Linked DNA regions of Oryzias latipes. The protein of the gene in region 2 interacts with the protein of the main gene of each other region in a biochemical or structural test. Links are inferred from orthologs where the notes say so. Each region holds a gene or a part of one and is shown on either strand. Other genes may lie near its edges.

Region 1 (4,253 bases), on a different chromosome or scaffold from region 2:
TGAAAGTGGTCAAGCTTTGACTTTGAACGCGAGCATGTGATGGTTGAGTCACTTCCAGACAACTCTGGAGCCATAAATGCGACTGGAATGAAACACGGAGATGACATGTTAGCATCAGACAAGTATATTTGAAGACAAAATAGTACAAAAGGTTTTCCAAACATTTCAGGAGGAAGTTCAGAGAAATGGGTCCAGTATTTTACCCACCACCAGGTAAACATAAATTCATATTCATCTCCAATCAATAATTATATAATTCTAATAGATAATCAAACCAATCTTGGTTTAGATCAATAATCATAGTAAACAGTGATGGATTAGAGCTCAAACATGTTATAGTTCTTTGATTTTGGATAATAGGAAGCTATAAAATTTTACAATATCCACATGATGTAAAGGTACTTTTTAAAGAACAATAGAACAGTAATTCAATTCCATATTTCTTTATAAAGATTGTAATGAAATAAATTCTAACATTAAGAAAAAAAACACTTATTATTTGGTCACTAGTTCCTGCGACCTTCCAGCTACCATTTTATGATAGGAAAAGGGAAAAACACCAATTTTCTGGACAAAACTCAACTGGGACAAAGTCATCATCAGATGATTTATCTGCCACCAATACAAACAACGGAGTATTTTTTGGAATCAAACCACAATATATGCAGAAGTAGAAGAACAGTTTGCCAAATTCAACCCAATTTCCTCAGAAAAATCTGTACATACAGGCAGGTCCTAATAAATTTGCTGCTTCACAGCTTCAGTAGAATTCAGCAAAGAGTGTGTTTGTGCAAAACACCAACCTTCACTAAAGAGGCAGGATGGACAGAAGTCATACATCACAGCAAGGACCTGAAAGGCCTAAATGTGAGGTGCTAAAGGCTAAAAATGGCAAAGAGTCTCATTGGAAACATCCCTAGATATAAAACAATAGAAATTGTGTTCATCTTGCAACTGCTGCCTTCCTATAAATAGATGGACGAGAAGGACAACACATCTCAGTTTTTACAGAAGGAGGCGACTCTGCAGGGAGAAGGTCAAAGTTCGTCGTGGGCCATGTTCAGAGCGTGATCACAGAGGTCTGCAGACACAAAGCAGGAAAAACCAAACCGCAGAAGATCAGAACAAAAAACGCACAATACAAACCTGATGTGTCGACTTCTAACATACCTGTTCTCTTGCTGCAAAGTTTGTCTTTAACATTTTCTGTTTCATGTGCAAAGAATTCAATGATTTCATCTTCGTGATGTTCAACAATTGTTTCACACTGGAGAAATAAATCATGATAGACGTTTAGAGAAGACAGCAGATGGAATAACTCATAATTAATATAAAATAACCACAAAATAATATTAATGAAGCACTGGATGTAATTATTCTGAGCATTAGCAGCTGCTGTACTCACAGCAAACTTTAAGCTGGATGTGACCCTGGAGTCCAGAGTTGCCTCTGAAAGGTCCATGGCTTCACCGGTCCGAGACTTAACTCTGATGTAGGACTTCCTGTCTGTGGAGAGATCTGTGCGCTCACCGTAGTCCTCCATCCTCTCACACACGCTCTCCATCAGCTCCAAGAGGTTCCCCTCTGAGCGAGCCAGCGGAACCTGTTTGACAGCGAAGAGAGCTTAATAACAACAGAAATAAATTCTTATTATTCATTGTTCTGCCCAGGTGGGTTCACTTTAAACAACAACAAACAAACAAAAAACACTGAAACCAAACTATGCAAAGACTTTAAAGCATGATATGTTAGAATAAACAAAACAGAAAATGAAGATTTTCATTTAAGATGCTCCAACAATCCATTATTCTGCGATGCAGCTTTACCAAAGTGTGCAGTGGATATTAGTCAAGGATTTTAAATGTGCCATATGGTCCAAAAGTACAGTAAGGGTCCCTTTATTAGCTTTGCTTTTATTTTAGTTCATTAGATTGACAAGGTTTTGGCTAAGATGCACCAACAACAATAATAAATAAATAAAGACTGTGTGTAGTTTTATTTTTACACTACTGCTGACATCACCCAACCTACTACTACATTTGCTGCATTGAGATGATCCTATGTGGTACAGGCTGTCTTTTATTTTGAAAGGGAATAATGTGAACCTCTCACAGTTATAAGCTGTTTGATATTTCTAATAAATAAATGAATATTTCTCTATGTTTTTTTATGAAAAAAAAAGATATATCCTAAAAGCAACATCAACATAAATGCAAATCCGTGTCTTTGTCTAAAGGCTGATGTTAGACTTTGTGGCTCCTGCTGGGTTGTGATCAACCATATATGTGAACAGTGAACTAAGATATTAGTGTCAGATAGCAATAAAACTTCCTCATTTCTCATCCTCCTTTATGAAGTTCCAGCATCTTACCTCCCTGATGGACTGACTCCCGTCGGGGTTGATCCTGAAGGATCCTGTCTGGATCGTTTTCTTGGGATCTATCTGGGAAATGGCCCACTCCATCTCATCCACCAGAGCCCTGCAGGCTGCATGCAGGAGGAGGGCGCATTAGGACCCGCGCGTGAGCTGCTGAGACGACCAAACTACAACTGTAGAAACTCACCTCCACATTTGATGTCCTGTCCTTGCCTGGCAGCCTGGCTGCAGGACAGGAAGAGACCCACTACCACACACGAAGTCAGCAGGAGAGCGTTTTCCTTCATCATTCTGCTTCTGAAAACACACATTTCCGCATAATTGATGCTAATATTTCCAGCTCAGCACCTGCGATACATCCCGTGATCACTTCTCCGAACGAATGAAGCAGTTAAGCAAAGTTTTCATTGAACTTACAAGCCTCCGTGAACGTTCCGGATTCCACTTTGACGCTACTCCACGCTTTTCCATCACATTCGTGAAATGTGATGACGTAGCCACAGAGCCGCTCCGCACATCATCGAGCTCGAGAGATTTCAGCTAGCGCCCCCTGGTGTCCAGGGGTTGAACAGCACCACGCTCTTTTGTTGACCGCTTGACATAATTTGGGGCGTTTTTTTTTTTTTTTAGAAATCCCAGCTCCATTTGGAACACTATACCTCTTCATATTTTATCTAAAATTGGTGGCGCTGATTTCTTTCTCATGTGTTATTATGATGTATGTAAAATCCCACTTAAGTTATCTGCATTTTATCGCCAAGCCTTCCTTTCATGGTCCCTTGTATACAAACACAACTTTCCACCTCACAAATATTCTATCTGGAATAACAGGGACATTTTATATAAACGCAAATCACTCTTCATAGAACATTGGTTTCGAAATAAGATTACTTTTTGTATCAATTATTTAACAACCAGGGCTTACTTTTAATTTATGAGGAATTTCTATCTAAATTTAACTTCCCTGTTCCCCCTTTAGAATACGCTAGAGTGTTTGGGGCTATTCCCTCTGGTGTCTGCATGCTGTTTAAATTCCAACACAGAGTTCACGTTGAGGAGCCTTTTCTACTCTCTCCCATAAATACTCCTGTGGGGAAACTAAGTCTGACTGGTTATCCCAGGAAAAACAATAAAGCCATTAGAACATTATTTCAAACGAACATTGTTTCACTACCTCGTAGCATGTCTTATTGAAACGAGTTTGTTGTAGATATTGCATGGAAGGAGGTTTGGCAAAAACCCAATACATTTTTAATCACTAATAAGGTTAAAGAAGTTTCTTTTAAGATTATCCATAGAATTTATCCAGCTAAAATTTTTATTCAAAACAGATTTAAATTAAACATTGAAACACTATATTGTTTTGGTTGTAATTCCCCTGAAACAGTTCTCCATCTTTTCTGGTATTGTCTCAAAGTTAAGATGTTTTGGCAGAAGATGTGTGATTTTATTAATGATAAAATTGATTCTTGTTTTGTCTTATTTTGAAAAGATGTCTTGTTGGGTATAATATCAAAAAATATGCAAAAGGACTCTGGTTTACTCTTAAATCTTTTACTCATTTTGGCCAAATTCCAAGTTCATAAATGTAAATTTTCTGGTAGAAAACCCTGTTTCACTGTATTCCTTTCTGAATTAAATCAGTATATCAACAGTATTCAGTATTCGAAATTCAGAGAAGCAAAAAGCAATCAGAACATTGTCTGTATGTGATGGATTCAGTATTTTTTCATAGAGTTTAACCCCCTGGCTTATTTCTATTTCTATTCTTGTTCTTCTGTTTGTTACAGATGTGTATTTGATATTTGCAGTTGTGTTTTTTATTGCATACTTAAAAGTACATCCTTGTAAAATGGCATAATGTGCAATAAAGTTG
Region 2 (3,647 bases):
GGCCGATTTGCAAAGTAGTTCATCTTGGGTTTTTATTTATTTTTTCCTTTGGACCATTTGGTCTGTGCTTAAGTACTGGAATAACACTATTGGTCGTGTTGGTGCTGTCATTGATCATTAAACCCTGCTTGCTTGGGGCTGTTCAGGTTCCTCCCTTCAGCAAATGTGTTCAGCATTCTGATTAGGTAAACGTTTGATGCCCTGAAAGAGCAGGTTAGCAGGAATCTTAACCCTAAACTCAATTATTTTTGTTGACAAATTTAAGAATTTAAGAATTTAAGGAAAAACGTGATTTATGAAGGTTTGTTTTTTGGTAAAGCATGTATATTTTAAATGAATCGCCTTCTTTGGGTTTTTGAAACGGTACTTATGGTAAATGCTTTTTTTTCCCATGGGGCATTGTGTCTAAACCCAACGCAACTAACTGAGGGGAAAATTGTATGCAGGGACGTGAGTTTGCATAAGATGTCGATCAGATCCAGGTAAGAGTCAAGATTATGGGCAATTTGCACAACTGTTGTTCCACAAAAGAGTATTTTTACTTTTTATCAGTGAGAACACTTGGAAAGGAAAGCATTCTCTTAAACTACTGTTCTACAAAAACTGTTCAAGAGGATTTATTTTGGCTCATGTGTTTTTGGAGATGGTGGCACATCCTGCCATCTTTCACATCAAGCACCATAACTATTGTTTTTTTTTTTTATTCTTTGCTCCACTTTTCCTGTTAATCTCTTAGAACATCTGCTGTAATTGCAGTTTACTGTTCTGTGAAAACCCAAAGAATGTCTCGCACAGACGGCCTGTTTGTTGGATCACTGCAAAGCTCCTTTTGAGTTTGAAGGCATAGATGTATAAAATCCGTGAACTGCAGCTTTGTCTCAAACTGCACATCTTCTGTTTTATTCCGCCTCAAACTGTGGAGAAGTTGGCGTGCAGAGTTAACTACAGGTCATTGACTGGGAGTAACCTCGTAACACATGGCTTCTGGCTGTGGTATTTGACTAGCTTACAAGCCGCATTGTTGCGATGTAAAACTCTGCTGCTGATTGGCTGAAAGCGGCTCGGTATCCAGGCAGCAGGGTTAGGTTTCAGTTTGAGTGCAGCTCCTGAAACAGCCGGTTTTTCTTTTAGTAGGTTTTAATGCTTCGTCCGAGCAAACATAAACAAGAACCCAGGCTTTTGACTTGTTTGTTTTGAGAAGTCTTACTTGTATGAGTATAATTTTTCCTCTTTGGTACTGTGCCACGAAGCTTTGAGTCTGTTTATTTGCTTATATTAGCAGGCGGTCTGTATCTTGTGGACAAAGACGTGTGGCCTAAACTGTAATACAGTAGAAGTAGGACAGGAGACTTCAGTCTCAATAAACTTCCTGACATTCAAAGGATTGCAAGGTGTTGCAATAATGGCCTGCAGATTAAACTGTACAGTACACGCTGTATTAAAAAAACCCTGTTGTTTCGTGTAAACTCTTCCAAGTCATGTCTTGTTTAAAAACTCTTTTTTTTTCTTCTGACTTTATAATTTTTTCTTAAACTTTATTTAAATTTTAAACTTTATCTTATAGGTCTGTCAATAAATGAATACGTTTTTCAGCAGACTCCTGGCCTTTTTTGTAAATTTTAATTTTTTATTATTATTTTGAATAGCAAGCTTCTTGCTAGTTCAAGCTCTTACTGACGTAAGTCCCTCTCCAATCGTTTTTTGATGTATTACAAAAGTTTTCTTAGTGGTCTTTTAATTATGTTTTGTGCCGTTTTTATCAAAATCAAAAAACTTGTCATTTTCTAGGAGATGGTTTCTGCAAAGCGGCAGATCTTTTTTTTCTTTTACCCAGAGGAAGTTGATGATGCAAGTTGACCTTTTTTAAGAAGTGTATTTTCATCCACATGAAGCCATTGGTGTTCGGCCTTTGGTTCCTCTCAGAGCTGTCTGGCAGAAGCGGCCCGCGGTGACAACAACCGTTTCTGCTCTCTGGGCCTCTAAAATCCCTTGAATTCACCGTTTAATGTAAAGGAACTGTTGGCTTCAGTTCACTAAATTGTGACTTCTTTTTAAAGGAAACCCTTCTTTCGTCTACATGTAGGTGTTGTGACTGACGGTAACCTCACGGAAACACCTGTGTAACCGAGAGTAACCTGCGCCTCGCCCTATAGTAACCCTGTGCCAACGACCTGTAGTAAACTCTCTGTAACGTCAGCTCCATTGTTTGCATCAGGCAGGTAGCTAACTAGCAGTGCTCCATCACATGACGCCTGCTGGGCCTGACACAATGGAGTGCAGTGTTTGTGTGCGTTTGGAGGGAATGGGATGTTTAACACCAAATCAAAGCGTGTTTGTTATGCCCGAGGCCGCTCATGCTCTGGTCCTCGCATCGCTCCGGCTTCTGCACAGGTGGCGGCGTAGACTTGGCTTTGTGCGCCCCTCGCAGCTGAACGTTTTTGCAAAGGCGTGTCTGCTGTTGCATTCGCAGCGGCTGAAACACGGCGCTTGTCACAAGGTGTAGTCTTGTTTGTACTGCAGGATCACGGAAAACAACAATCTCCTTCTTTCCAACCGCCTTCAGTTGTATTATTTTGTAGACATTACTGGGGAAGAATGTTGTTTTACTTGCATCTTAAACTTTCCAAACAACCTCAAGTTACTGTAGGATCTAATTTACTCCAATAAAAATGTAAAATTGAATTGTTTTAATGGGTAAAAAAGGAAACCGGTCTGATTTGTTGAGTTCTGAGAGGACTTAAAGTGGGTCAAACTGTTGCATAGAGGTGAATGTGCAACTGTTTTAAGAGCAGGTGACTAGTTCATAATCTTCTTACTGTTTACTGTGGCAAAGGTCAATCTGAAGGGAGGATCTGTGTTCAGCGCTCCTGTTAGCTGCGATGTTTCCCCTCATGGTCTCCTGCTGAGGTGAAGGAAAGAATTCTTTACATCATGTAGCAAAAACAATGAAAAGACCTGCTGTAGCGTCTGTTTTCCCTACCAAACCAGAACGTGGTGCTCCTATGAGTCAGCCCAAACAATAACTGTGGCCCCGCCCCCTACAACTGTTTTCACATACAGTATCCGTGTTTGTATCAAGAAAAGCTTTCAATTTCAGGGTTTTTTTTTAGGTTTTGAGAAAACCTGTGTCATCATTTCTGCTTCAGTTAGGCTTTTTGTGATTTGGGGAAGTGGTTACAACCTAGTCAAACAAATGTAGTGAAGGTTTTTTCACACACTGTCTTAAATGTTAAGTTGTAGCCTTGACTGTTTAATAAATGCATAAAAAAAATCCATAATTCATCTTAATTTCTCCCTCCAGACACCTCTTCTTCCTGCACGTGAAGGAGGACCTCCACAATGGTCACCTACGAATGGGCTCCGAACAAGCAGAGGAGCTGAGTGCCCTGCTGGCTCAGGCAGAGTTCGGGGACTACAACCAAAACACCGCCCAGTACTGGTATTCTGAGCTGTGTGGAGAGGAGCCCAGTGTCGCCACCATCAACAGGTAACACGCCCACTGTACAGCTCGGCACAGGCTGAGGGGGGGGGTTTGAGCTGAAGCTACGTACACCCTGGCAATTTGACGCACATTCAAGAACGTACTGAACAGGCATTCTGGAACATGCGTTTCGCATATGGTGTTCACACTGGACAAGCAGGGAGGG

Evidence for each region. The genes of interacting proteins can lie anywhere in the genome.
Region 1: the proteins of mylip (region 2) and protein canopy homolog 2 form a complex in vitro, tested with the Homo sapiens proteins (2 studies listed by BioGRID). The link is inferred for Oryzias latipes from reciprocal best matches to the Homo sapiens genes MYLIP and CNPY2.

Annotation. Positions count from the first base shown.
Region 1 is NC_019863.2:27,668,046-27,672,298, reverse strand, and holds protein canopy homolog 2, read right to left. Parts: upstream 2,940-4,253; 5' UTR 2,795-2,939; intron 2,675-2,794; 5' UTR 2,668-2,674; coding exon 2,565-2,667; intron 2,488-2,564; coding exon 2,372-2,487; intron 1,604-2,371; coding exon 1,406-1,603; intron 1,268-1,405; coding exon 1,171-1,267; intron 1,082-1,170; coding exon 1,038-1,081; 3' UTR 107-1,037; downstream 1-106. UniProt on the Homo sapiens protein: Positive regulator of neurite outgrowth by stabilizing myosin regulatory light chain (MRLC). It prevents MIR-mediated MRLC ubiquitination and its subsequent proteasomal degradation.
Region 2 is NC_019869.2:23,667,631-23,671,277, reverse strand, and holds part of mylip (E3 ubiquitin-protein ligase MYLIP), read left to right. Parts: intron 1-3,301; coding exon 3,302-3,487; intron 3,488-3,647. UniProt on the Homo sapiens protein: E3 ubiquitin-protein ligase that mediates ubiquitination and subsequent proteasomal degradation of myosin regulatory light chain (MRLC), LDLR, VLDLR and LRP8. Activity depends on E2 enzymes of the UBE2D family.